Xenopus tropicalis: one gene and its partners. The protein of the gene in region 1 interacts with the protein of each later gene in a pairwise test. Links are inferred from orthologs where the notes say so. Each region holds a gene or a part of one and is shown in the gene's direction. Other genes may lie near its edges.

Region 1 (4,412 bases):
ATCAACATTATCCCACCCAGGCACTCTGCCAAGCACTGTTATATAAACCTAAAATTACTAACACCACAACCAGGACTGTCACTTGCCCAGTGCTATACCCCCCCCCCCCCTGCCAAATTTCACTAGGGGCCACAGTAATAGGCAGGGCCAGACTACGGATAATGAGATATATAAGCGCCCCAATGTGGCCCCACATTCAGCTGCCACTTTATGCACCTCATATGGTGCCACTAATCACACTGAAAGTGTAGCCACATTTATAAGCGCAGAGTGTTAAAGTAATCCCCCTCAAATGTAGCAGTTAACATGGTATAGTCCAGAACTGTCACAACATACTTCATACTCCTTTAAAACACCAAATGGCTCCCACTTAATTTGTAATGTTACAGGGGCTGACTTTACAACGAACATGTGGGCTCAGGAATGCTCCAACAACAGATGCTCTTTATAGTGTATACACTTTACTTCAGCGAAGCTACAAAACGAGCAGGAAGAGACAAATATGGCAGCGCCAGGACACGCTCCCAAGTTCCCATCAGCGATTCTCCTCACATTCCAGCGCCGGCGCCCCGCCCATCCGCCTCACTCTGGTGCAGCAGCTTTGCGTGCCCACTGCGTGATTCAGAGGGCTCATTCGCTTTCAGCCAATAGCGCGGCGTGTAGGGATTGGGCGCTGCCTGGGCCAACCAATCAACGGCAGCTGTACACGCGTTGGCTTCGTGATATGAAAGCGTCTCTGGGCGGATTCACCATTTGGTGGCAGGGCGGGCAGAGTGGGGGGGGATAATGTGGGAGTGGGACGTGGGTTTGTTTCCATAACAGTGGGGAGGGGCAATGCCAGGAACACGCGTGACACACCAAATGAATTAATTAAAACTAGCGCGCCCTTTTCGTTTATGTCTATAATGCTTAATTAGCCAATATAAATAAAGTGAAAAAGTGGTGTCAGGAGTTTTATTTCTTGGTTACTTCGGGGGAACGCCATAATATTTGCCCCAAGTGCTTATTATCCGTATTGGTGGTATTTACCCCTTGCCTCTTTCATAGACTGTGGCAAAGCAGGGGGTGTTGATAAAATGTTATATTTAACGTATAATAAAAATCTATCAGGCCTGTTCGTCTGTCTATCGCCAGTCACTCAAACATGGATTATTATACTAATGACCGAAATGGTTTTCATTTGTATCGGGCGACTGACACTACTTTCTACGTCGGTGACACTGACACATTGTCCTCTTTGAAGTACAATGTCTGGGTCTTGCCCTGGCCTGGCGTACGCAGAAATTCGTACAAGAGCACTACAGTGTATCAAACAATGAACTAAAATATTGCCTTCGTTTACTCTAATAAACACCACGCACACATTTATTCCGCGATGAATCTTATTCTGTTAGAACCCTATTGATCCATTTATAATTGCATTACACAGTATAGTTCCTGGAGCGGAGGCACACGTTGCCGTCAGATCACATGTCAGAGCGACGCTACAAAAGAAGAGACTACAGAGCGGACGGATACACGGGGCGGAACCACGAGTCTATATAAAGGGGCGGTAAATCGCCCGCCACGTCAGTCTGCAGCTTGGAATGAAAGAGGGAACGTAGTTTGCTGTCGCTGGGTCTTTTTTGTTAACTAAATACTAAGGTTTGAGGACGCGACGCTTCTGCTGTAGCAGGTTCCAACAGTGATTTCTTCAGTCCGGCGCCGCAATAACCAGCGGACAGCCATGGCGCTATAGCGGCAGCACAGGCCTGCGGCTCCCCTCTCCCCCGGCCATAGCGAGGCAGCAGCTCCCAGCGGCGCCCGCAGCACCAGGCAACGGCACAGCCATGGCGTAAGTATCCCTACTGGGTCATGTACTACATGGCGAGGTGTTAAGTGTGTGTGTGTGGGGGGTGGGAAATTGCTTGAAATGCAGGAGTATTAATATAAAACGGGGCAGGAAGGAATGTCTGGGGTAATGTAGCGGTAGATCGAACGTAAATGTTCTTATGTGTCTTGCCATGTGGCTCTTGTCCTTGGCAGACTCGACTCTGGCGCCCCCTAGGGTACGATGTATGTACAGCAGGTAGACAATAGCTATCAGCCATATTGTGCGGCTGCTGGAGTGACAATTATCAGTATATACATCTCATTCATTAGGGCCACAAAGGGACCTTTGGGTTTTCTTACAAATGCAGATTTCCTGAACTTGCATCTTGTGTTTACGGTTTAAATTATTGAAGCTATTAACTTGCTGCTTTTGTAACCTGGGTGGTGTCCATAGGGTTAAACGAATTCCACTAGGAATTGTAGCTATTGCCTTAATCAGTTTGTTGAATGGGGGACTCTCTAAAATGTTTCAATGTCACAGTGGGTTTGATCTCCTTTAGTGGTATTTCTAGCTCCTGTGTGGCTTGGGAATTCTTAATGGGTGTGCTTTGAAATGAGACTCTCCCCAGGCAGATTTAGACTTGCTCTCTAGAGACAGCTGTTTCCCTTGTATGCATAGGGGAATCTCTCATAACAGCGCTCCAGATGGCATTGAAAATTAGTAATGTATTTTCAGTTAGTGTTGTGCTTAACAATAAAATGTAGCATTCAACAATGATCTTATGTGAGGAAGGTGACTTCATTTGTTTAGGACATGGTTTGGATGGTTTAGCAATTTGTATTTAAAGGGGTTTGATGCTAAAATGGCATCCATACCAGGGTGGAGAACAAACCAGATGGTTAACTTGTGAAATGGCTGCTGATCAGCTTTGTGAATCACCGGGTGTGGGTGGGGCCGGAGGGAAGGTGCCCATATTTGGTCATGAGGGAAGAGAAGACTAGAATATAATACTGCTCTTGTGAAGAAGCATTGTGAAGAACAAGCATGTTTTTCTTAATAATGTTCTTAATATTTGCTTTTATTATGCAGGCTTCTCCAGGCATCCCACAGCAGCATTGCTGTATACGAGGAAGAAAGCTCAAAATTGTCATCACCAGTCGAATTCGTGATCCTACAGAAAGATGAGTTTGTTAAGCGACGAGATGCTGTTGGGGGACCTTCTGTCCCCCTTCAACCAGTCGTTTTTGGCGGCTGAAAAGAGTTTGGGTCTCTTGGAGGATGAATTTGAGGTGCCCGGGTACCTCCTATCGCAAGGGTTCTCCAGCGACAAGGCTAAGGATGGCGTCTCTGACCTGCTGCCTTATGTTGAATCTTTAGGCAGTTTTCATGGTAAGTAAACTGGCTTTCAAAGGGTTCAGTCTCTCTTCTGTATAATAGAATATTCATGTATTTTGCTTGAAGCACCTCTTTGCAGCCACATTACTGGAATAGATTTGTTAAAATATTTGTTCAATGGCTAATGGGCATTTTAAGTGGAAAGATTGTAAAACTTAGCTTATGAGATGATAGAAATTTGTTGCTTTGCTTTCTGAGCCTTCTTTGTTCTTTATTAGGGGACGCCTTCTCCGGCATGGATTGGATGGTGGAAAAGATGGATCTGAAGGAATTTGATTTAGACTCCCTGTTTGGGTTGGAAGATCTGGAATCCACTATCTCACCAGATGAGCTAACATCCACGTTGGAAGACTCATGTGATTTCCTAGAGGACCCACCTCATGCAGCAGTGATTGGCCACTTTGTGCCATCACCTGAACCTGTCTCTCTTCCAGAGTCCCCACTGGATGCTGATCAGGTTGCCCCATTTAGCCCAGATTTGACAGCCTCTCTCTCCTCTAGCCCAGACCATTCCTTCATCTTGGATGTAGGTAGTGAGGTAGATGTTGCAGAGGATGAGAAAAAGTCCTCTGCAACATATACTCTAGAGATACTTAAATGTGAGAAGGAAGATTCCTCTGATAATGATAGTGGAATCAGCATGAGCCCCTCCTACTTGGAATCCCCTCAGCAGAGTCCATCAACTGTAGAATGCTATAGTAGTCCTCAGTCCTCCCTAGAGTCCCCAGTCTCTGAGAGACCCAAACCTTATGATCTTCCCTGTAAGGATAGAGATGTGATGGCGAAGGTGAAAGTAGCTGGAGGGCAGCCCAGAGTAGACAAGAAGAAAAAGAAAATGGAGCAGAACAAAACAGCAGCCACTCGCTACAGACAGAAGAAAAGAGCAGAGCAAGAGTTAATATCTGGAGAGTGCAGAGAACTAGAGGGAAAAAATGATACCCTTAGAGAAAAAGTAGATTCGTTAACAAAAGAGATCCAGTATTTGAAAGATCTGATAGCTGAAGTCCGACAGGCCAAAAGCAAACGAGCAAAAAGTTCTTGAATAGGGAACAAAGCTGGAGCGTGTGTATGTTGTATATAGGTCACTTAAGAATGTTGTGGAATGTCTACTTAATAAATTATTTTGTAGTTACTTTTTTGTCGGATTTCTTTATTTGTGCAGTATAAATTAGCTTGGGTTTTCAAAATGAACTAAGTGGGGTTC
Region 2 (3,023 bases), on another chromosome or scaffold:
TCTTGCAAGGAGAACGAGACCACCGTCAGGAAGCAGAACTCCGACTGGAGGAAGCAAGACAAGAGCTAGCAGGCAAGCTAGCAGGAATATCTGAGCTAGAAGGAAGGTCTGAGGTAGCAGAAGAGCAAAACAGAAAGCTGCGTAAAGATCTTGAGGAACTGAGAAAGGAGATAATGGAAGCTAGACGGCAGGGAGCAGAACCTGACCCAGCAGTAAAGAAGCTCCAAGCAGAGCTGGATAGAGTGAAAGAAGAGATGCATGCTCTTCTGCAAGAGGAGAGAAAAAAGGTATAAATACATTGTGTTAATGAAATGTTAAATATATGAGATGTTCCTAGTTAAGATGACTAAATGGGACCACAAAATGAGAAGTTTTGCCTATATGTGCAGATCACTGCACAGAAGTACAGCCTACATCAGCTGATTATCCCATATACATGTTAACAGGAAAGATGATTTGGCATGTTGTCCTCAGTGCTGGAATCATTGCTCCAGAATGGGCTCCTGAACGCAGGGCAAGGATCTGACACATTATGTTACTAAACTTAGCAAATGCCAGACTAGTTGGAATTTAGAGATAAGTAACTAGTTACTTTTACTTATGTACAGCTGAAAATACAGCATGTTGGCTTTTACAATCATATTTTCATATATCCATAACACTTCCTTTTGTTACGGGGAGCATGTGTCAAAAGTTGCACTTATTTCTGAGAGGTCTGAAATACCTATATATAATTTACAGGATATTCATGGTTCTTGTGTATTTTATACTGTCACCCCCCCTACATTCTTCAGTATGTCAGTCTTTTTCCTTTTTATAGTATATTGTTTGTTTCCTTTTTTCGTTTAAGTCTTTCCTTTGTACTTCGTTTCATACATAGTTTACCATGTTGCATTTGCAGCAGTTTTCATAATTTGTCTATTGCTTTTCCCTATTAAGAAGCTGGATGAGGAGCAAGAAACTATGCAGCGTTTTCTACAGGAGGAGCAACGCATCTGTTCCCTTGAGTCTCAGGTTTCCGAAATGTCAGAACTTCTAGGTGCAGCAGAAACATCCAAACAAAGAGATCAAGCAACTATTCGCAAGCTTCGAGAACGTCTAATACAGCTAGAAGCAGAGAACAAGACTCTTGCACTAACCTCTTCAATGCAAACCCCATCTGAAGTTACTTTTAATTTTAATAAAGGGGAGGATATGGATGAGGGTCCAGAGCAGCACGCATCTGTGCTTTTTTACCAGCAAGAGCTTCAGCAACTGAAGGAGGAATTTGAGCGTTATAAATCACGTGCACAAGGTGTACTAAGAACCAAAGGTGCACGGGAGGGAGAACTAGAGGCTGGCAAAAAACAAATGGCAGAACTGAAAGAACGATGTGTTTCTCTGCGACTTTCTGCAGAAGAGGCTGAAAGCCAGCACAAAGCAGAAATGGAGGCTGCCCAAAAACAGATTGCACTAATGCTTCAATCTCACCGGCAGGAGCTAGAATCTGTGCGCAAAGAGGGTAGAGACAATATGGCTCGTCTGGAGGAAGAAGTGCGACAGCATAGAGAACGAGTACTAGCTGTTTTAGCGGAGAAAGAGCAAGAGCTGGAGAAATTAAGAGAAACAAAGATCACATCAGTGGTCCCTCTCTCAGTCCTGGACTCAATTGGCAATGGCCTAGAACTTTCACAGGGTGCCTCCTCCACTTTTATAGTGTATGCAGAACAGTTGTCACGCAAAGAAGCAGAGATTGGAAACCTGCGACGAAGAAAGCATGAACTGGAGTCAGAACTACAGAGTATGCAGGAGAAATTGGCAGAGCAAAAGGAGGAGGCGAATATTCTACAGGAGCAAATGAAAAAAAATGTACGAGACAGAAGAAGGGAGGGGGCAAACATGGAGTATCTGAAAAATGTATTGTTAGGATATTTGACATTGCCAGACCCAAGAGGAAGACAGCATACACTGAGCGCTCTGCTTGCAGTGTTGCATTTTTCTCCGGAGGAACGAAATGCAGCATTGCGTGCACAGGAGGGGAGTAGGTGGTGGGCAGGAAGCAACAGGTGACGTCTTCTGAAAGACTTGCAGATGTTATAAGTAGACAGCACGTTGCACATTTTATTTGGCAGATATTTATGATCATCTCCTCTGTGAGGCTTAGTAATAGTAATAAGCTTAGTAATAAAACTTAAAGACCTTTTTTTGAGAGTATGCACTATTCATCTCAATTAAAAATAAGTATCTGACTTAAAATCTTGGTCCACCTCTCTCCAACTATATGGTTCTGGACTGGAGTGCAGGAGAGTGACTGTGTCTGAGGAACTGTTCTAGAAAATTACTGGTATAAGTGTGAGCTGACTAGTCAGACCATGCTTTTCAACCAAGTTGCACCCAAAATATGGCTGCCTTGGCAAAAGACACAATAAAACAATTGCTATGACAAACTACTGAATACATTGAAAGCCCGCTTGTGTTTTATGTATTAACAGGAAAAAAATTTACCCTGGTTTAATTAACCAAAGCACATAATATCTCCGTATTCTAAGCACAATAGAATTGCAGTTTCTAATCCCAACTAGGCAAACCTTTGCTTCATTTTCTTGTAGTAGTTTTCAGTAGACTGAAAACTAGATTCTAGTCAGTTTCTATTGGCAATTGCACATTTGCAATTTAGCATCTATATTTTAATCAGTCTATTATTGTTTTTAAATTCTCATTTTTAAAGATTGAAACTAGTCTGTAGCCAGGAATTGCTCATTACATGTGCTCACACTACATCAAAGCCGTGTGTGTCTGTGTGTCTAATTGCTGACTTATAGTTATTTCACAAGGATATAGTTGAGTTGTTACATACTGTTCCTCTCAAGACATTGCTTTTCCGTAGCAAATACAATATCTTTATATATAATATCTATATCGGTTCAGCAGATAAGAGGCTAAAAAGAAGCCATGCCACATAGAAATCACTACTCTCAGAACCATGCTGCTTTTAAAGTTCATAATGGGCCTTTTCATCAAAGGAATACTATACCCCCAGAATG
Region 3 (3,770 bases), on another chromosome or scaffold:
ACAAATCTCCCTGTTCACGGGCGACTAATCTCCCCGACTTACATTTTCACCGGTGGCATGGCAATTCGGGGAGATTAGTCGCCCGCGAACAGGGAGATTTGTTGCGGGCGACTAATCTCCCCATGTGCCAGAGCCCTTATTATCCTGCAGGCTTGATCAGATATGTTGTAGCTCTTCCTTTTACTTTATGTTGACAATAAGATGCACTGTTCAGAGTGCAATATCAAGTGCAATCGCTATGTTTTTTCCCCACAATGCAGTTTCTCCAGAATTCAGGCACAAGCGGAATCAAACAGGTGATTTTCATGACACAATAGTGCTGTGCCTGCCACTGTTACATTATAAATTGGGTGCAGTTGCTGACTGGAGTCATATCCAGTATTCAGCATGCGACAAATGGATGTGCCCTATTCTTTTTGTGCCAGTGTGCAGGGCACCAAGGGAACCCTGGAGCTACTGCCTGGTCAGGAGGTGGCGGTTGGGTCAGTGAGCGCAGATTCGGAACACAAGGCAGGAAGGACTGAGCAATGCCAAGTGCAATTGTACAGAAATGTGAAGAGTTCATTTTGACCAAGTACTTTCCCAGTCTGACCCTCACCAAACACAAACCTCCAATGGTCGCCCAAATTTCAACTTGCACATAACTACTCAGCTCCTTCTAAAGAGGTGTCTTAATTATTTCTCAGTACCTCAGGTACACCAGACTTTTTCTCCACCCATGGGAATACACCTGTTGAAAATATTACCCTACTGTGCATACTGGGACCATCAAGGCAAAGCTGGCAGATAAAATGGCAATGCAGTGCTCACAGCAGTCTTTGCAGTGGTTTGCCTCCAGGCGAATTAAACCTTTATTATACAGAGGTTTATCATTTATGTTGCTCCTTTATCTATCTTTATTATATTTGTCTCTTTCCATATATCTTTCTTTACCAAGCAAGGCAAGCTATGTGAAAGCTTCCACTGAGCTGTTTCAATTTGCACCAAGCCCTGCAAAAAGTTGTGCATCAGGCTGAATCCACTGCTGGTGGGTAGTACAAAGGCAACCCCTGGAATGCCCCCAAATTTGAGTGCCATTTAGTCATGCCCTAAAGGGCAAGGTCATGACTCCGTTGTGCTTGACACCATGTTTGAGTTTTGTGCCCTTACACTCGGGTCATTGGTCTTTTTCGTTTTAGAGGTTTGATAAAAGAACTCATTTATTGCCTAAACTTAAGCCAGACTCTTCTAAATGACAGTTTTAGCATTTGCATTTGTCACTAGAATCAGGTGACTGTGCATTATTAATGAGGTTTTTTTCTCTCTTTCTATGGTGTGGCAAGCAACCAGGTTTTTTTGTTCTTTCGTTCTCACCCTGAAAGCTGAGAACCATCGCCCTAATATGTGGCCCAGTGCATTGAGCTAAAATAGCATGGCACTAGTGCCATCCAAGGGATTTACCTGCTGCTGTTTTGCTAGTAAATAACCAGCTTTTATGTGCTAGGGCCACTGCCAGTGGAAAAAAAATTGCATTTTACATTCAAAATTAGATTGAGTTACTAGATTAATAACATTTCAAAATATACCTTTTCAGGTGCATTATGGGTTTAATGTGGATTCTGTGATGATTTGAAGCACTCTTCACTGCAACCTCACGGACTGGAAAGGATTACGGATACCTATTCTTCTAAGACTCTCTTACCGAAGTCTGAGGAAGCAAATAAGTGGAAACTATGTTCACCAAGCTGAAAAAAAAGATTGCAGAGGAGGCAGCTGTAGCTCCACGTCCTGGTGGGGCAGCCCGAATCCCCCGTACTATTAGCAGGGAGTCCATCACATCAGCAGGGGCTGATTCAGGAGATGATTTTGTGAGTTACAGTTTAAAATATTTACTTGTAAGATAATAACAAGTAATGAATTGGCAAACTAAAAGTGGTCTTCATGCACAGATTTGATAGATTTTTACCTTATTGCCCCTGTTGGATATATATGGTCACCTTGGACCAACTTTGATATGTCTGGACTGAAAATTAGATCTGTTAATGCCTCATTTCAGCGTACAACTGGGGAATCTGCAGATATAGAGAAAAACCTATTATTGCTATCTTAAGGCCTTTAAAAGTCCCCAAATGTGGGCATTTATGAAGAGGATTTTTTTTCTGTAAATTTGCTTTATGCACCTGTAAACTTACATTTTAAAGTTTATAAAAACATCACTTATTCTGATTTCCTAGGCCTCAGATGGCAGCAGCTCCAGGGAAGACCTTTCCTCTCAGATCTCCAGGAAAAATGAACAGATTCGCCGCCTTGAAGCAAAGCTAATGGGTAAGATGCAAGAACTGTGCAGCTTTTCATTTAACCATAATTCTCATGTTTAGATAATGAATAATGTAGTGGCTGCCACACCTGTTGCTGAGTGCTGGATGAAGGGAATAGAATAGAATTTGTAGTTCAACAATAGCTAGGTTGCCACAGGTTGTATAATGTGTAAATGGAAATCGGACTAACTTTATAGATATAGGAAAAGTTTGCACAACAGGCAGACACAGACTTCCTTACAGAAATCAAATGACAATTATTATAAAAGCAGTATCACTGAATATTAACAATTATTCTTAAAAAGGTGCATGACAGCAACATTTCAGGGTTACCAGAGGCCTGAGTGCAGCTCATAATGTCACTGCCATGTGTTGGTGAATAAACACTTGTCTTTGTGGTCTGCCTGTCTGACACACTTGCATTGTAAAGGGATATTGTAATTGGAATGAAAAGGGTTTATTGTACAAACTGTATAAAATTATTGAAAAAAAAATGTTAGTCTTGTAAGTGCAGGATTAGTAGCATTAGTCACCGTGGATGCACTGGCACATACAGGGTTAAGTAGAAGGCAAGCTGCAGTGAGTCTGAACTGACTCGTATAACCTGCCCGGAACTGTTCAGGTAGCTCCAGGAACTTTGAAAATGCAGTGAATCCTTGAGAAGGGAACCTGCCTGTGTTGTGTCCTGGTCCTGGAGGCACCCATATGTAATAAATATGCAAAAATGAAACACACTTGTATGCTGAATTCAGAAAGCATTTATTATTTATTAAATCTTCCTGAAACACAATCCATTTTCTAGCAAGCTCCATCTTTTTTTGGTGTTTATAACTGTCCCACCAAAACTGGGACCTATAACCCAGTGACCCACTGGGAGCTATAACATTTAATACAATTTATACATAATATATAGCCCTTGATATATTCCCTTTAAATTAATCATTCCCAAGATGATCTATAGTACAGTCTTGTACATTGTACTTTTTATAATAAATTATCCCTTTAGGCAGTCTGTGCTTTCTACATACACATATAGGCAATTAAAGGGGTACTAAATTTTGGTATGCTGGCCAATTCATTGCAAATTTTTAACTGCTTTTTTTTTTTAGATCATTTTTGAACAATTTGCTTTGTTATTCTGACTCTATCAAGCTTTCATACAGGGGCACTGACCCCAGCAGCCCATAAGCTACTGCTCTGTGAGGCTAAAAATGTGTTATTGCCAATTGGTATTATTTATCTTTCTATTTAGGCCCTCTCCTATTCATATTCTAGTCTCTCATTCAAACCACTGCTTGGTTGCCAGGGTAATTTGGGCCTTAGCAACCAGATTCCTGCTGAAGTTTTTAACTGGAAAGCAGCTGAACAAAAAGATAAATAATTAATCAAACACAAATTAAAAATGTAGACCAATTGAAAATGGTCTCAGAATATCACTCTCTACATCATACTAAAAGTTTAATAAAAGGTGAA
Region 4 (4,525 bases), on another chromosome or scaffold:
TGCTACCCCCCTTAACTTCACAATTGCCTTTCTGCCCCACCCCACATACCCCTTTAATTCGACAAATGCCATGTTGCCCCTACCCCACATACCATCCAAGCCCTCAAATGCCATGTTCCCCTACCCCACATACCCCTCTTAACTCCACAAAAGCCATACTGCCCGTACCCCACACACTCCCCAACTCCACAAATGCCATGCTGCCCCTTTCCCACATACCCTCCATAACTAAGCAAATGCCATAATGCCCCTACCCCAAATACCTCCCAACCCCACAAATGCCATGTTGCCTCTTCTCCACCATAGGTATTCCTCTGTACTTATTTCAATTTAGCAGGAACAGCCCCCTATGTGTTTTTACAGCCTGTACTGTAAGATTCCATTAAACTATGGCAACATAGGTATGCCCGTTCTAAGCACAATTAATCAGGAACAGCACCCTAAAATTGTTCATAGGCTGTACTGAGAAATACCATAAAAATATGGCAGTATACTGTAGGTATTGCTATATTCTAAGCACAATTCAGCAAGAACAGCCTCCTATGTTTGCTCATAACCTGTACAGAGAGATTCTGTAAAACTTTGTAAGCATAGGTATTCCCCTGTGCTAAGCACAATTTAGCAGGAACGGCCCCATACATTTTTTCATAGCCTGTATAGATAGATAACTTAATGGCAGCACACTGTAGTTATTCCATTGTACAAAGGACAATTCAGCAGGAACAGCTCCTAGGCTTAATAGAATACATAATAGATGCAATATAACTGTATAAATTATGTGCTTATTGCCCATTTCTGCAATGATCTCACTGGTGAGTCGGAAGTTAATGGAATGCCCACTATCCATTTCTGCAGTGATCTCATTGTTAAGTTGGGGGTTAATGCATACCTCCCAACATTTGAAAAACCAGGGGGGGTATCCTTAGCTTGTAGGGTGTCCCTTCCTTAGCCTGAAGACAGGGCCGGATTTGTGGCGAGGCCACAAAGGCCCGGGCCTAGGGCGGCGCAAACTTAGAGGCGGCATGCTGCCCTGCTGCAGTGAAATTTTTTAATTTTGCTCCCATACGGAGCAATGGGGATCTCTCCCCATTGCTCCATATGCGCGCTCGTGGCGGGGGGGGGCGCACAAAGGGGGCGGCCTCGGGGCACCCCAATTTGAAATCCGGCACTGCCTGAATAGTTGGGAGAGATAGGGGAGACACTCAGCCTCAAAAATAGGCAGGGCCACCTGAACCCAGAGTGCCACCCTGGGTTCGCTATATATATATATATATATATATATATATATATATATATATATATATATATAAGCAACCATTGTCAGCACTCACATGATTTAAAAAATGATTGATTGAAGAAAAAGACTCAACGTTTTGGTCCCCCACCATATGTATATATATATATATATAAAACAATTATAGTTGGGAAAATATAAACGTGTATATACTGTATATGTCCTGCACCCTTTGAATGAAGCTCAGACACAACTCTAATGTGAGCATGGTGTCCATTTCACCTTCTTTCATCTGCCACTATTTGCTACAACAGAACATTCCTGAATGGAACTGCTGAGGTACTGAATACCATAGGACAATGAGGCACAAATACTCCATGACAGTCAGTACAAGCACAATGTTCTAGAACAAAACATATGACAGGATTCTATACTGAAAATACACAAGCCAAAAATAATTGTGTGTTGAGCCTGGCAATAGAGCGTCTGAGACCAGAAACTGTGGTGGGATCTTCTAGCATCATGCCTTTACCAAGGCGCAGATCTTCCATCTTGGGGCAACAGCACCACTACACCTCTTCAGAATGTTCAGGTGCAACCAACCGAGTCTTTTGCATTGCACCAAGGAATCCTGGGGTATATGTAGGCAGTGCTCTAAGTAGTGGAACCAGCAGCCTTGGTACACGAGTGTCTCGACGGGCCTTGGGCATCAGCAGTGTTTTCATGCAAGGACTGCGCAGCTCAGGCCCTCCTGTTCCAGCAGCTCAAGGTCTGGATAAAGGAAGAGTCCCAACATTTGAGTCTCTGAATAGCTGCCTTCTTGAGTACATAGACAAAGTGAGGGCTTTAGAGCAGGTGAACAGAGAGCTGGAGGACCATATAAGAGTCTATCTGGACAAGAAGTCTTCAACTGTGAGCAGCTGGGGGACTCTCAGGGATAAATGGGAAAGTATCTACTATCAAGTAAGTGCTAAATAATACTTTATTTAATATATCATTTTAAATGCAAACCTTGCACAAACATTGCAAATAAATGGCAATATTCAAAAATTAAAAGGGCAAGAACATACCTCCAGGTATTCTACACTGCAAAAACATACAGGAAGGATAACTGGCTTGTGATGACATTGACTCTAGTGTTTGGGTTGTGAAACCTTATCTAGGCAAGGACTGGTATTAACAATTTAACAATAAAAAATACATTTAAAAAAAAAAATATTGGTGACCAATAACTGGGGCAAAGACTAAACCTGTATACAGTAACTAGGTGCCAAGTTTGAAGGAAACCACTTTATTAACAAAGCACAAAAGGTTATTCACGCCTTACATAATTGTATAACTAGGGGGTGTTTAAGTAAAGAGTATAAACCATGAAAATCTGCCGTGCGCTGTGCTGCGAAAGTTTTTGGGTTTTTTTTGGAAGGGTTGAACTTGAGTCTGGTCTTTTTACAGCCCTTTGTAACTATGTAACATGCACTTTGCAAACACACCCCTAAATACCACACCCATTTTACTAAAACATACCCAAGACGTGCCAGTACAATTACTACAGAAAATGGACAACGAGCATATTAACCAAAAAAGAGCCAGTATAATCACTAAATGAAACAGAAAATGGCCATTTTAACCCCAATATAATTACTATGGAAAATGAATAATCTGCATATTAACCCCAGATGTGACAGTATAATGATGTTGAAATGTCCAATGGGCACTACATTAACTCCATATATTCCAGTAAGATAAATGCAGAAACAGATAGACCTAAAGCATTCCCTCACCTACACTTGCACAAACAGAATTCCAGCACCAAAGCCCTTCTTTCCTGCTGCTCCCACGCTGCTTGTCTCTCTCTCTGCCTCCCTCTGCCTGGCTCATGTAAAAAATCCAGGATGGCCATGCACCAATTTTGGATGTTTTTTCGAGAAACAGGGAGCTGAGAAGATCCAAGAACAAAAAGCAAAATGGGATATATAAACAGTGATCTTGGACAGGCAGCTGGGAGCTATGCATAATTCCAAAGGGACAAGTGCCCCCTTGCCCCTATTTGTGGACACCAATGCAGGCAACCCAACAAATTACAACCCCCATAATTCCCAACACACTTCTTGGGTTCCCTCCTTCCTACCCTGTTGTGGACATGTCGTTTCCCAGTTCCTGGCTTACTTCCATTTGCGCATTCTTTACAATGATGATGAAGCACAGTAATTTTTACCATTTGAAATGTTATTTTCGAACCAACAAATGTATTATTTTTTAGTTGTTATATTGGTGTGTAGGTGCCATCTCAGTGCATTGTGCCTGAATCTGAGCTTTCAGAAAAAACCAGTGCTACACATTAGAACTGCTTTTAGGCAACCTATTGTTTCTCCTACTCCCATGTAACTGGAGGAGTCCCAAGCTGGACTTGGATTGCTTACTATTGAGTGCTATACTGATACCTACTGGAAGTGGCTAGCTTGCTACCTTCCCATTATTCTGCTGATCGACTGCTGGGAAGGGGGTGATATCATTCCAACTTGCAGCTCAGCAGTAAAGTAAAAGTTTATCAATGCACAGGTCACATGGTTGTGGCACCCTGGGAAATGAAGAATATGGCTAGCCCCATGGCAAATGTCAAAATTAAATATAAAAACATCTGTCCAGATTCTGCTGGAGAAGCTCTATTAACTGATATGAAAAATTCCCATGACAGTATTCCTTTAATATTTTGATCACTTACATACAAATGTCAAACGATGCTTGCTCCCAATGTTATTAATAGGGAAGACAGGTAAATATACACTAAGCCCTGTATTTTTTTCCAGAAAAAATGGGACCCTATGGCTTTGTAGCAGATCACCCTGTTCGACTTATACCTCACAAGAGAATATTTAGAGACATTCAGGAGTACAGTACAGGAAAGAGCAGGAGAGAACCCAAGGGGGGGACTATTTCTCTCTTCAGACTCTCTCCCAGACCAGAGAGCTCACAACATATAATCGCAAATAAATTAGTTTGAGGAGACTGCCTCATACAGACAAAAGCAAACAAAAGGAATTCTGGGAGTGAATTCCAAACTCTTAAAAAAATCCCATTTACATGGGTTTATCCTATAGGCTAAAGCTCACCCACTGGCTTCAGCTTCAAACCCAGTGGGTGAGCTGTAGCCTATAGGATAAACCCATGTAAATGGGATTTTTTTAAGAGTTTGGAATTCACTCCCAGAATTCCTTTTGTTAACATATAATCGCAAAACTGAAGGATCATTGGCATGTCATCAGTTGTTGTTGGCACAAGGTGGCAGCAAAC
Region 5 (4,404 bases), on another chromosome or scaffold:
TACACATGCTGATGGAAAGCAGGGAGGAAAGCACTGTGTGACTTACTGGTTACCAGGGATAAAGGGGTGAGTGTTACTCTTGTGTCACCCATTTGCCCAATAGCACTTTCTCACTAGAAGAGGCGCCTTTCCAGTTTAATAACCTCAAATTTGGTTAAATAAATGAATGATGATAATGGTGCAATGCACAACAATTTTAGATACAGCAGAGAAGCAGCAAATTTAAAGAGTGGTGGTACATTAAAGAGTTATACATCTATACCCAATGCCTAGCACTAGCCTCAGTAATTAAAACAGTCAATGCTTAAATAACTCGTTTTTCCATCAGGAAAACCACCATCCCACCTGTTACTGCTTCAATATTTTCACCTTAGTATTTTTGCTATTTTAAATTGATGCTGTTCAGCTAACATCCGCTGTCCATCTACATTGACACTATCAAGTGACTTCATTTGACCACATTAACTTCTATTACACCTAAGGATTCCATTGTTTTTCATGATTTTTTTCATACATATTTTGTACAGGTTTTTTAATATAGACTTTTCATGGATTTTTTTTTTTTAAATAAAGATGTATTCATTATGTACATGGCAAACTGGAATAAAATTATTTTTGAGTAATGAACTGTATAATTAGATACATTATAAGGTGGTATTAAGAAGCATATTTATTTCAGTGTGTAAGCCAACATGACAGGTAATGTTGCCCATGGCAACCAATAAGCAATTAGATTTTAATAATCACAAGTTAGAAACAAAAGCAAATATCTCATTGGTTGCTATCGCCTCAAGTCATGCTGGCTTATACACTATAATAAATATGCCCCTGTGTGTTTTAGTTGGTATACTAGCCAGCTACATTTCTAAAGTGAAATTGCTTTAAATAATTGGAACGATAAAAAACCCGGCACCTTATACAATTTTGGCGTTAGGATTAGTCGCTAGTTGTTTCTAGCAACGCAGGTTTTATATCTCTCTGTATTACTTCTTTAGGTTTAGTTCTCGCTATTTATGTTGCTTTCTTATGATAAAACCAGGTTGCGGACAAGGTCGTACAACCTGAAGGTGAAAAGCAAGCTTGGAAAGTCCCTCGGGTTGGGGGAAGGCTTGGCCCCAGCTTGCCAGCTCTTGCATCACCCACTATGACTCACTCTCGTCTCGTGATTTCCAACAAAACACTTCCGCAACACACCCTCTGACTGCACAACAGCATACCCAAGTGTCTCCGCCTTTAGGCTTCCGGTTGACGGGCCTCTGCGTTTCATACCTCGTTATGCTTTTTCAGCTAGCCTTCTAATTGGCTGTAGAAGGCACCTGGGGGCTGGCAATAGAAGTCCTCCCCGGAACGTCTGGCTAGAGGCGAATGAGGAAGCAATAGGATAAGGGTCGTGTACGCTAGATTGGGATCGACGATCTGATTGGCTAAGGCAGCGAGCTATATAACGCGGCTTCTTCGCACATATCCTCAGTCGTTTTGCTGAAGACGCAGACGATGTTTAACATGAGCCCACAGTCTCTTAACGTGCAACCACAAACCAGCTCACGCTGTCGCTTTATTTGTCAAAAGAGAACAGACCCTACGTGGAGAAAGGTATTGTTATTTCTTGTGTTCATATTGATTACAGCGAGTTTTGGACATAGGTATCGGCATCTCCTATGTGTGCCTTTAATCCGGCTCTAGTAAGGCAAGCGCACAGTGACGTTTTTTTGTGACCATTTTATTATTCCAACGCTGTGCAGAGCCTGAGTCTATAAGATGAGAGATGTAGTTCATCTTTAGTGTTGATACTGGTAAGACTGTTCGTTCTGGTATGGTCCATTAGGGGAGATGCTCTATAATTTCTTTAGAGTCTGTTTTGTTGGTTGGGGCGAAATGTATGTATGTATGTATGTATGTCTTTATTTATAAAGCGCTACTTATGTACGCAGCACTGTACAGTAGAATACATTAATACAAACAGGGGGTTAAAGATAATGGATAAATACAAAGTATAACAATAAATACAAATAAATACAAGGTACAGTTGCAATAAGAGTCAGAAACAAGATGAACGAGGTCCCTGCCCCGTAGAGCTTACAATCTATATGGGACCAAAAGGGCAAAGAGTGCTCAGTTCTAGAACCTACGGCATCCCAGGTATCTGAGGCTTATGAATGAGTGGAGGCAGGGCCAGTCAGTGCTGGTTAAGCCTGTCCCAGAGCCCACTCTCGCACTGCTGCCGGTTACAGAGCCCAGGATTACAATACAGCGGTGGCTCCCCCTCCCTTCCTCCCTGTTGTCTCTCAGCTGGAGCAGCCAGGCAGACACAGCAGCCCAGCAGCAGATCCCACTCTCCAGCTGTCCGGACCCCAATGTGACTCCCATCACACAGCAGCTGGCATAGATTAAGCACTAAAGCTGGCCACATGGTGGTCGCACAAAAGATCGTTCCAACCCTCCGCTGACATTCAGGGCTGAAACGGCAGATATGGAGGTACAAACAACAGGATTTCTACCTCCTTCTGTCGATTCAGCCCTGAAGGCAGATTTTGCTCAGACGCCTTCAATGGCTCCCGACTGGAGTGTCGACCGATATCCGCAACCTTCTGCGATATCTGTCGCCTTGCCGAGTTGCCATACACGCACCAAATATCGTATATTATCGGTGCGTGTATTGCCTGACTTCATAGCCATTTAACTTTATCCCACTCCTGGTGCTGCTGTAAGGCAACCAGGGGGGTTGAAATCAGCCAAGGCATTTATTAAACCCGATAAAGGAGAGTACAGGCACAGACCAGTAATAAAATGCTTGTCCTACAGGCATATTCATTTGCCCTTTTCCAAGGACTGTCTGTTAATGATTCCTTATCTCCTAAACACTGGAGCATACCATATACATCATTTGATAGAGCTTGTCACAGAATAGGACAATGGAACACTGCTGGCCAAAACAAACGGCAATTCAGTTATCCAAGCTGTCGTGATTTCTTATGTTTCCATTTTCTGCTGCTCAATTTCCTCAATTTTCCTCTCACGGGATGTAAGTTGGTGATCCATTACCTGCCCTATATTATTGTAGATGGTAGAATCTAAAACTATAGAAATTGCACATGCCAGATGAAATTTAGGCTTCCACCCCCCTGGCCAAACTGAACTAAAATATTTAAGAGCAAAATTAAAGTCATGGGCAGAGTCTTTAACAATTAACTAAATGCTCTTTCTGAAGAGTCCAAAGAGCTTGAATTGACTGCTTAAATCTGCCTGTGTATGGCCACCTTTACTCACAAAATGGATATTACAAGGCACCCATAGTTAAACAGGTGCTGAGAGTGACTGTAGAACCAACAACAAGATGATAAAATGAAACCAATCACTATCTTGTTTAATGTCCATTTGTTTAACTGAATATAAATACAGGCTGCTTTCCTTCAGGGCAATGTCACAAACATTTTGTTCCCCTTTGCTAAATCTGCGCTGCTCCAGCTGACAAAATATCCCAAATTTCCTTCCCAGCGGCAGTAATATGAATTAATGGTGGGAAAACCTAGTGAAGTTTTGTTGCTTGCAGTAGAGCAGATTACAGCGGCCAAAAAAATCCCTGTATAATTCCGCTTGGGTCCATTCCCACACTAAAGGTTCCCATACATGGGCCGATTGTAGCTGCTGATATTGGTCCCTTGGACCGATATGACAGCTTATCGGCTCCTGTAGGGGCAGAAGTGACGGCCATACCCGACCGATATCTGCCCCAAATTGGCCATATATCGATCGGGCCAGTTAAAAGATGCGGTCCCCGAACTGACTGCCCCATTGCCGCCATTATAATTAGATTGTTTGGCCCCAGAGCTAAACGATTGAATTGGCCTACATGTTCCCTGATATTGCCACCTGTAGGTGTGGATATTGGTTGAAGATCTGCTCACTTGGCGACCTCGCCAAGCGAGCGAATCTTCACGTGTATGGGCACCTTTTAGATCTGTGTTCGGTTAAGGGTGTTTAGAGGGGAATTACCTTTTTTTTTAACCGAGCTGGCAAAGTTTTATAGTTGTTTTATGGTGCATGTTGTGTGAAGGTTATTTGTATAAAAAAAAAAAAAAATAAAGACTAACCTGTAACAGTAACCAGTCTCGAGGCCTATTGTATTCAAGATCCTAATTTAGTAAGCACTACCTGCAGATTGGTTGCTATGGGTTACTAGATCTAGTTGCCATTTTGATTACATTGCCTCCTTATTGCTTAAGATCTCACTAAGACTTAAGCTGGCCAAACCAGTACTACATTTTGTATGATTTTCAGTCCATGTGTGGACCCCAAATAATCACCCGATATCTTTTGTACCATGGCAAGCGGTCATTTTATTCAATAATCCGTCATTGTATCAATAATAGAAAAAGACAACCTTTCAGATTAAGCTCTGTTTAT
Region 6 (3,770 bases), on another chromosome or scaffold:
TGCCTCGTTCAAATGACTTTTGTGAAACCCAATATGAGTTGTGTGGGGATGTACAGTAACTTGCCCGTTAACTATTGAGGTGCTTTGGTATGTCTGGTCATACAGCCTGCTAGCAGTATTGTGTGGGTTAGTATTATAAAAGTCCTCCTCCAATAAAGTGTCAATAAAGTATCGCAATAAAGAAGCTTTTCCTGTATAAAGACATTGATGATTAATGCTGGTTGATAAATAATTAACAGTCCAGATAGGCAACTTTATTCTGCTCATGAAATGTGTAATACGTGGGCAGCCTGCTATGTCGGTTACTCTTGTCAGTTTTATTTCTACATATAACTACAATTGAAAGCAGCACTAGTGTCCCCTTCTGCACTGCCAGTTCTGTCTCTAGAAACGTGTAAAAAAAAAAAAAGTCAGCTTTGTATGCTCCTTCATAGGTTTGTTAGTAGGCAGTCTTGTGCTACATTGTTTTAAAAGTCAAAACCACCAGAGCAGAGAATAGCAAGGTACAAACAGATACTGCTTTTAAGAGGTAAGACACACAGAGATACTAGTAGCAGCTACTTGTCACGCCTACTAAAATAGACAATGCTGATCATTTACTGATAATTGTCTCTACGTGTGTTTTAGCAGAGGCAATGGTATGGTATGGCAGGGTATTTCTGGTATTTAGTAGAAGTGAAAATATAGCTGCTACTAAGTAGCTCTGTGTGTCTTCCCCAAGCACACAGTTATTTTTCCAAATAGTTTTAAAACCATTGAGCATTTAGAATAATGGTACAATGGAAAGTTGCTTATAATTCTTCATTTCATTAGGCAAATTGTGATTTTTTGGGGGTTTAAATTCTCTTTAAACAAAACCTGCGTAGGTCCATGAATATAATGTCTATGAAAACAATGGATAATACTAACATATGGACTTTAACGTTCTGATCATTGGTTCAGCCATACCCATCTTGTCTGTTAAACTCTTGCTATGTGCTAAAGTGCTTGTAATCTGTATCTTTTCATTTGTATTTACCAGCCTATCTTGTTACAGGAGGAATAAACTAGATTGAAAGAGCCAGTGTTAGTATTGGGTTTCCAACCAACCCTCCTATTATATTCCTCCACTTGCTTTTGTATTTGGCCCATGATGTAATCTCTCCCAAGTCACATCAATGCATATGGTTTACACCTTTCTTCATTGAAAACTATATCCTATAAACTGTTGGGTTAACAATAATAACGCATTTTGACTGCCGCAGTGCCCAGGAGAAAAACAAAGTGCTTGGTATGGATGTGTCACCACTACCAATGTATTCCTAACATGCCATGGCACACAAACCACTGCTCTACAACCCTCATCTGTGAGGATTTCCCATACTTGTTGCCTGAGCACAGTGGTGGTCAAAATGCCCTGTATGCTGGTCATGTGCTGCGAAATTGCTAGACCAGGTATTTACCTGCTGTGGCCGCCAACTCACAAGGTCAGTTACGGATTGTTAGGCTCCCAGGCTAGTGATTACATCATAATGGAGACCGATTGAAAGAAAACTGTTAACATGCTGATTTTCTAGATAAATTGCTAAATTGATAGATAATCTGGCTGATTTTCAGAGAGGTCAGGAAGGATATTAGGAGGCCATTAAGCTGCCAATTAGGTCTAGAGGAGCATAGTTTTGAGCTTTTAATGACTCATGCACTACTTTACTTGTGTCCACTTCAGAAAACTGAGCACAAGCAGCTGCTGAACATGCTTGTGTGGTGGAATCCACAGTAGAAGAGAGTGGAGGTCATCAAGTGGTTGGTTACTGGCCAATAATAAATGAGCCCTACTAGTGTATAAATGTGCATTGTTTTTCTGGGTAGGTTGCTGCCTAGATGTCGTATTGTGAGTTTGGTAATGAGCTTCTTGCAACCAAAATGTAGTCCAAATTCTCTCTCTGTGGTATTGACAGAAGGTTTCAGCACTGCTGTATTTGGTAATGGCCAATTGATGGTGCCCAGAGCTCGACACAATGGGGGGACGATGGCCAAAGGTGACAGCTTGTTGGTTCATGTAGAGACACATTAGGGCTACACGGTTTCAGCACACTTTTAGGATATTGATTATAGATCAATTCTTTTCCAGGGGTGCAAATTAAAAGGGAGAGATAACACTGGTACATGCCTGTTGGACGACATAATGCAGTAGCATCAGGGCTGTAATCTTAAAGCAGTTATCAATACTTTAGGAGCTGTGGCTCCTCTTCAGTTTCTCATCTGTTGATGCACAGTGCCCTGGCAGATATGCATTGGCAGATGACATTTTCAAACCTGCCTGCTTGATGAACAGACTGATATCCAGTAGTGATGGGCGAAATGCATTTCACCATTGGCGGATTGTTTCGCAAAACGGATGAAAACATTCGCCGGGGAAAAATTTGCAGAGCGTCCAAAAATTGTCGCCTGCGACAAAAGTATAGCCGCGGGCGACAATAGAATAGCCGCGGTGACAATTTTTTTTTTACGTGCAACATTTCCGCCGTTTTGCAAATTTTTCGGCGAAGCGAAATGGGACAGATTCGCCTACATTTACCTAAAATAGGCTGTGAAGATATTTCTAAGCGAAAATTGGATATTTAAAACATAGGAAAAATCATGGTTGTTCCCTAATATTTAGATATAGACCAGTGTTTTTCACAGGTTCAAGCATCCCTTGTCTCCTTACTAAGATACAGATTTATGAACACATTGTCATCCTGCCATGGTTCCTAAGTCTAAAATATTAATTTGGTTCCTCAGGCTGGGCTTCCAGGAAAATGTAGAACAAGAAACAATTTACTTCCAAATCTTTTTTTTTTTTTTTTAAGCCCCATTTCCTCCACTCACTGCCTCAGGCCCCCTAACTGGTTTCATCCCCATGGTTTAGAACTAGTGCTACCATCAAAGCATGTCTGTGTCTATACTTAAACCTTTTAGATGTTCAGTTAGATTCCTGCATACTTCTAGGCAAACCCTATAGCAGTATTGTTTTTATCCATTTTATATCTTTTACTTTTCTAGATGTGGATTCCTGAATTAAGCCCCATTAGTAGAGAATTAGTACGTTTTTTTACATCCAGGGTTGTCAGTTAATTATATACCTTGTCAACTGTATGCTTATTAATGCCAAAGTCCTGGAAACATTAGCTTTTAGGGGGTTGATGGCATTTGGAGAGCAACAACTTTGACAATTCCCGACCAAGGCATTTCCAAAGAATTCAACATTGCTCCATCATTACTAGCATATAGCTGGAGATTAGGTCTGCTCCCATGGGTGTGAATGTTCATGTGAACCTGGCAGTGTCACAACTTCCCATGAGAAGGTAATGTTCACCTGCCTCTTGAAAGATTACCACATCAGCTTAATCCAAGCCCAGTTGAAGATGTAACCTACCACTATCAGTCGTGTTGGATTTCATAGCTGCTTCATGGGGTTGAACAATTATCCAAAAAGTATCAGGACATTAAACCCCATGTATTTGACTTCTTCTAGGATATGGATCTGATTGATATTCTTTGGAAGCAAGACATTGACCTCGGTGTTAGCCGTGAGGTTTTCGACTATAACCAAAGACAGAAGGAAAATGAATTGGAGAAACAGAAGAAGCTTGAAAAGGAGCGGCAAGAGCAGCTGCAGAAGGAACGGGAAAAAGCACTCTACGCCCAACTGCAATTAGATGAGGAGACAGGGGAATTCATCCCAATCCAACAGGCTGCACCTATTGAGACTGCAGCAGTCACGCAGGAGCTTGCCAGTTCCATTGAGG
Region 7 (4,436 bases), about 5.4 Mb from region 1:
TAAAACTTACCTTCAAGTCAGAAATTAAAAAATGAGCACCAGCTTTTAGACGACTGGGAGTAACATCAGAGGTGTTAGTGAGCAACATGTTGCTCATAAACCAATGGTTGGGGATCACTGGGTTAGGGGGAAACAATAGTTTTCCTTGAAAAAAAAAAAGCCCATTTCAGCGCTAGGCTAGCTGCACTGGGAGGCCATGGGCAGCCATGTTGTGACACACATGTACATAATAAGCAAGTGCCACAACTCATTATGCGCGTGGCTGTGATGTAGGAGGATGAGTTGTATTAACCGCTCCCATGTCAGGCGCATGAGCATACTGAGCAAGCGGGGAAATTCTGTCAATATGCACATGTGTGCCAAACAACTTGGCCACCCGCACCGGGCGTTCCCTCCGGCGGCAGCTATTTTTTTCCTAGAAAAACTATATAGGGGAAACAGGGATTGTCTTTCCATATATTGCAATATATTAAAGTCAAAGAAGCCTTCAATGGCACCCGATCAAAATCTTCTAAGCCGCCCGATCGGCGAGTCAACCGATATCAGCAGCCTCCTGCGATAACGGTCGCCTCACCGACTTGCCATACATGCAACAAATATTGTACGAAACAAGGTTTCGTATGATATTAACGGTGTGTCTATGGCCAGCTCTAGATGTCACTGTGATCCTCACAGTATACACGGTCCCTTAGACCGATTCGGCAGCTAACCGGCTCGTGTATGGGCACTACCGACAGGCCTGCCCGACCGATATCTAGCCTGAAATCGCCCAGATATCGATCGGGCAAGTTAAAAAATCTAGTCGGAACGGGGACCGCATCGGCTCGTTGATGCGGTCCCCAGACCGACTTTGCCTAAACCCGTTGTTATAATTCGATCGTTTGGCCCCAGGGTAGGTGGCCCACCCGTAGGTGGGGGATATCGGGAGAAGATCCGCTCGCTCCACCCACAGAACTTACAATTGTATTTAATATTACACAGCACAGGGCACTACTTTCTGGGGATAGGGCAGTCTGTTATGACAGGGGCAAGTGATGAGTAGAAACTGGACCATTATTGCACATATTTGGACAGAACCAGGAACAGACAGCTTACCAGATAAAAGCTGAACAGGTACCATCCCTGTTGGACTCAACGCTGGGCCTCAAAATGAAATATTAATATAAAAAAAATTGAAAACCACTAAATTAAGATCAAGTATAAAAATTCTAATTGATTTTAGACAATTGTTAAGTTCTCCATTAAATTTTAGTGTAACATGCTGATAAGATACGTCTCCATTAAGTAAATAGTTTGGCAGCACCCTGTATGATACAGTTCTGCAGAACACATACAGGTGAGGAGTGCAAACGAGGCTGTTCCAGGGACCTCATAGGGAAGGACAGCAACTTGTAACAATAAAGTTACATATGAAAAAGAAAAAAATGGACTTGGGATCTATGGGCGGGGCCGCTCACCACTTGCCAACGACGGATTGGCTGCCTCTGCTGCCTGTCGGGGGATTGCATCATGCTGCCCGAGAGAGGAAAGATCCGAGTGATTTCGCAACAATCTATTGTGCGGTTCGGATGATCCACAGCCCCGAGTGTCCGGAGGAGGAGTAACCTACGGATCCCTAGTGAGGACAGGGGAAACAAGTCGTGGGGGAGGGATAGGCTTCCCTCCCCGGGCAGGAGGACCTCGAAGCCATCAGGTAAATTGTACTGTACCGGAGTAGAAACGTCTCAGAACGGCTGCCTTTTACCTGGCACCCTGCAGGTGTTCGGCTGTATTTCCCTTCAGCGCTCACAGTGTCTGGGTGGTAGGGCATACTGGCATTTGTACCTAGAGACACCACTTCAGACACTTCATGGCAGTCGCATAACTCAGAGGGGAAGAAGTTGTAATTAAAAGTTGGGGTTCAGCCTTTAGTTGGGATACCATCGGCCTCCAGCTGTGGCAGGGCTTTCCTTCTGATGGGGGTTATGGGATTTGTAGTTCTGTAACAGCCTGAGCGTTACCCTTCTAATGCAAGAAGCATACGTACATCGCAAAGCCTTAAGTGCTAACTGTTACCGGAGGGCTGGCAGGGAGATGCCGCCCTGGGAATTGACATAGTTTGTGAGTGGCTTTGCGCTGATCCACACTCAGCCCACTGTCGCATCCGACTATATCGCACATGCAACAGTTGTGCTCTAAACCTTGACTATTCCGTAGGTTTAAAGTAACAGCTTTCGGTGGGTGCTGCTGGCCATCCCCCCATGTTGTCCTCCTGAAAAGTCTGACCCAGACTATTCTGTATTGCATAGCTTTGCCTGTGCACATAGGAACAAACTCATTCCTTATATCAGATATTTCCTATTATATGTGCTTTATAGGTGTGTGATGCTTTTAGAGAGTGGGGAGAGCCCTGGCGGATACTGGTAGGAGTACAAACTGTGTAGAGGGAGAAGCCCCTGCCTTAATGTGCTTTGTATTGTATGATGGACCATTAGCCACTATTCAAAAACAAACCGAATACTCACTGAACACTGCAATAGTGTATTTACTGAGCCTGTTATGCCAGGTGGGAAACTACCAGTTGTAATGGACATTGTGACAGCCAGTGATGGTTATGGCAGACCCCAGATCCCAAACAATTTGGTTTATAGTTCATGTGCCTAGCTGGGTGTTGATAGAGGGGATTTGGCCTTGAAAAAAATGGTATTGCTTATTATAGGCTGTCTTGTCTATTCAGAGTTATTGTTTTTCAACGGATTAAGAGTTCTATGGTTGCTAAGCAGTATATGTAAGGGATATTTTTTTATAATAACACCTAACAATGATTACTTAAAAGATAACTATACCCCCGGGTGCAAAAAGCCCCCTTAACTATCATTGCCTAGACGCCCTCACCTCGCAGTTGAGGTGGATTTCCTGCTACCTGCAACTGCACATGAGCAAGCAGGTTCATATCAGCGGAGAGACTTTCTGTGTATCTAACTGGTAGTGTAGAATATTGTATAGTTTCAGGAACTGATTTAACTTGCCTGTCTGCCTGGAGGTGCAGCCACATTCAGTTCACTACTTTCCAATGTAATTGATGGGATCATTAGTCAACCCAGTGTTCTCTTTGACCAGTATACTATGGTGAGAATACACTTGTGACTGAAGTACTAAATTGCAAATTTGGCCTGACTGCTTACAGTCTGAATGACCAAGATGTCTGAATAATTGTGGGCATACATGTTAAGATCTGCTTATTTGGCGAGGTCAGCAGATGATCATATCTTCTGCCAATATGCCCACCAAAGGTGGGCAATATCAAGCTAAATCAATAATTTTACCCTAGGGCCAAATGAATGCAGCCCACAATCCAATGGGAAAATCAAGCCTGCCGATTGACCACTGGACAATTTTCGGGCAGATATCATTTAGGAGGTTTGTCGGGGTGGGGGGCATACGCATGCAGATAAGCTGCCGAATCAAGTCGGCAGCTTAAATCTGTCCCTGGGCACCTTTAGTTAGCTTGTGTGTCCAGTGGTTGCAGGTTAACTTAGCTGCCTTAGAACAAGGAGAATCAGGATATGATGGTGACTTAACGCTTCAGTTAGTAAAAACAGTAATGGGCAGTCAATTATCAAGCCAATAATATTTAAAGTAAATGCTGTATATTCATTTACAGATAATCTTTAAGTTGTTTGTATGTTCACCCTGTGCTTGTGTAGGTTTCCTCCCAAGAATGACAATTCTACAAGCATTAAATAGTATAAAACCGGTAGGGAATTGAATAGAAAGACACTTAGCAAGCCCCCCATGAGATGAAGATCAGAGGCCAAGGTTGTGCCCGTAGCTTTCTTGTTGATATCTATAGTTTACCCTGTGTAGTGAGTTACATTGAATTCTAAACTTGGATTTGCTAGCAAGTTGATGGTGGCATGTACTGTGCAAGTGTGATCATGTTTAGCTGAATGCTGGGTGTCTCACTTACCTCATACAGAAAGTAAAACTATTCCAGAATAACCCATGACTGTTTCAGAGTTTCCATACTGCACTTTGTGCTTAGTATGACTCAGGATTTCAGGGCAAATGCTTAGTAGCGGAGAAAATTGTGCCATTCTGGCAGCAGCATTAGAAATGCCACAAACCTCACTGGATTCTAACTGATTCCTGAACTGACAGGGTTTCTGCTCCAGTCTTACATGTCGCATCATTCTCAGGAACTGTTAGTAAGGTGTGTGTTCCGCAAGCGTGTGCAGCCACACGTATTTAGTCACGTAGCTGTGAGCCACATTTCATTATATAAGTATCTTAAAGTGATACCGACACTAAAAAACTACTTTTCAAAATATTATTGTACCTAAAAAGTTACCTATAGGTCATGTTGATAATTTTTCACAGATAGGGCTGCTTTTTGTTACTTGAAGTTCCTAAACCTGACTGTTTAATCAACCTGACTGTCCCTTCTCAACCTGTTG

The links.
Region 2: the proteins of atf4 (region 1) and gcc1 interact in binary tests that used the Homo sapiens proteins (3 or more experiments, as listed by UniProt). The two-hybrid records come from large-scale screens. The link is inferred for Xenopus tropicalis from reciprocal best matches to the Homo sapiens genes ATF4 and GCC1.
Region 3: the proteins of atf4 (region 1) and golga1 interact in binary tests that used the Homo sapiens proteins (3 or more experiments, as listed by UniProt). The two-hybrid records come from large-scale screens. The link is inferred for Xenopus tropicalis from reciprocal best matches to the Homo sapiens genes ATF4 and GOLGA1.
Region 4: the proteins of atf4 (region 1) and bfsp2 interact in binary tests that used the Homo sapiens proteins (3 or more experiments, as listed by UniProt). The link is inferred for Xenopus tropicalis from reciprocal best matches to the Homo sapiens genes ATF4 and BFSP2.
Region 5: the proteins of atf4 (region 1) and ddit3 interact in binary tests that used the Homo sapiens proteins (3 or more experiments, as listed by UniProt). The link is inferred for Xenopus tropicalis from reciprocal best matches to the Homo sapiens genes ATF4 and DDIT3.
Region 6: the proteins of atf4 (region 1) and nfe2l2 interact in binary tests that used the Homo sapiens proteins (3 or more experiments, as listed by UniProt). The link is inferred for Xenopus tropicalis from reciprocal best matches to the Homo sapiens genes ATF4 and NFE2L2.
Region 7: the proteins of atf4 (region 1) and cebpg interact in binary tests that used the Homo sapiens proteins (3 or more experiments, as listed by UniProt). The link is inferred for Xenopus tropicalis from reciprocal best matches to the Homo sapiens genes ATF4 and CEBPG.

Annotation. Positions count from the first base shown.
Region 1 is NC_030680.2:121,049,152-121,053,563, forward strand, and holds atf4 (cyclic AMP-dependent transcription factor ATF-4), read left to right. Parts: upstream 1-1,580; 5' UTR 1,581-1,834; intron 1,835-2,902; 5' UTR 2,903-3,015; coding exon 3,016-3,202; intron 3,203-3,426; coding exon 3,427-4,250; 3' UTR 4,251-4,340; downstream 4,341-4,412. UniProt on the Homo sapiens protein: Transcription factor that binds the cAMP response element (CRE) (consensus: 5'-GTGACGT[AC][AG]-3') and displays two biological functions, as regulator of metabolic and redox processes under normal cellular conditions, and as master transcription factor during integrated stress response (ISR).
Region 2 is NC_030679.2:89,155,523-89,158,545, forward strand, and holds the end of gcc1 (GRIP and coiled-coil domain-containing protein 1), read left to right. Parts: coding exon 1-287; intron 288-939; coding exon 940-2,049; 3' UTR 2,050-2,438; downstream 2,439-3,023. UniProt on the Homo sapiens protein: Probably involved in maintaining Golgi structure.
Region 3 is NC_030684.2:28,212,898-28,216,667, forward strand, and holds part of golga1 (golgin subfamily A member 1), read left to right. Parts: intron 1-1,573; 5' UTR 1,574-1,712; coding exon 1,713-1,847; intron 1,848-2,213; coding exon 2,214-2,304; intron 2,305-3,770. UniProt on the Homo sapiens protein: Involved in vesicular trafficking at the Golgi apparatus level. Involved in endosome-to-Golgi trafficking. Mechanistically, captures transport vesicles arriving from endosomes via the protein TBC1D23.
Region 4 is NC_030682.2:52,673,309-52,677,833, reverse strand, and holds the start of bfsp2 (phakinin), read left to right. Parts: upstream 1-1,650; 5' UTR 1,651-1,651; coding exon 1,652-2,197; intron 2,198-4,525.
Region 5 is NC_030678.2:140,584,136-140,588,539, reverse strand, and holds the start of ddit3 (DNA damage-inducible transcript 3 protein), read left to right. Parts: upstream 1-1,489; 5' UTR 1,490-1,593; intron 1,594-4,404. UniProt on the Homo sapiens protein: Multifunctional transcription factor in endoplasmic reticulum (ER) stress response. Plays an essential role in the response to a wide variety of cell stresses and induces cell cycle arrest and apoptosis in response to ER stress.
Region 6 is NC_030685.2:65,686,961-65,690,730, reverse strand, and holds part of nfe2l2 (nuclear factor erythroid 2-related factor 2), read left to right. Parts: intron 1-3,496; coding exon 3,497-3,769; intron 3,770-3,770.
Region 7 is NC_030680.2:115,638,226-115,642,661, reverse strand, and holds the start of cebpg (CCAAT/enhancer-binding protein gamma), read left to right. Parts: upstream 1-1,570; 5' UTR 1,571-1,693; intron 1,694-4,436. UniProt on the Homo sapiens protein: Transcription factor that binds to the promoter and the enhancer regions of target genes. Binds to the enhancer element PRE-I (positive regulatory element-I) of the IL-4 gene. Binds to the promoter and the enhancer of the immunoglobulin heavy chain.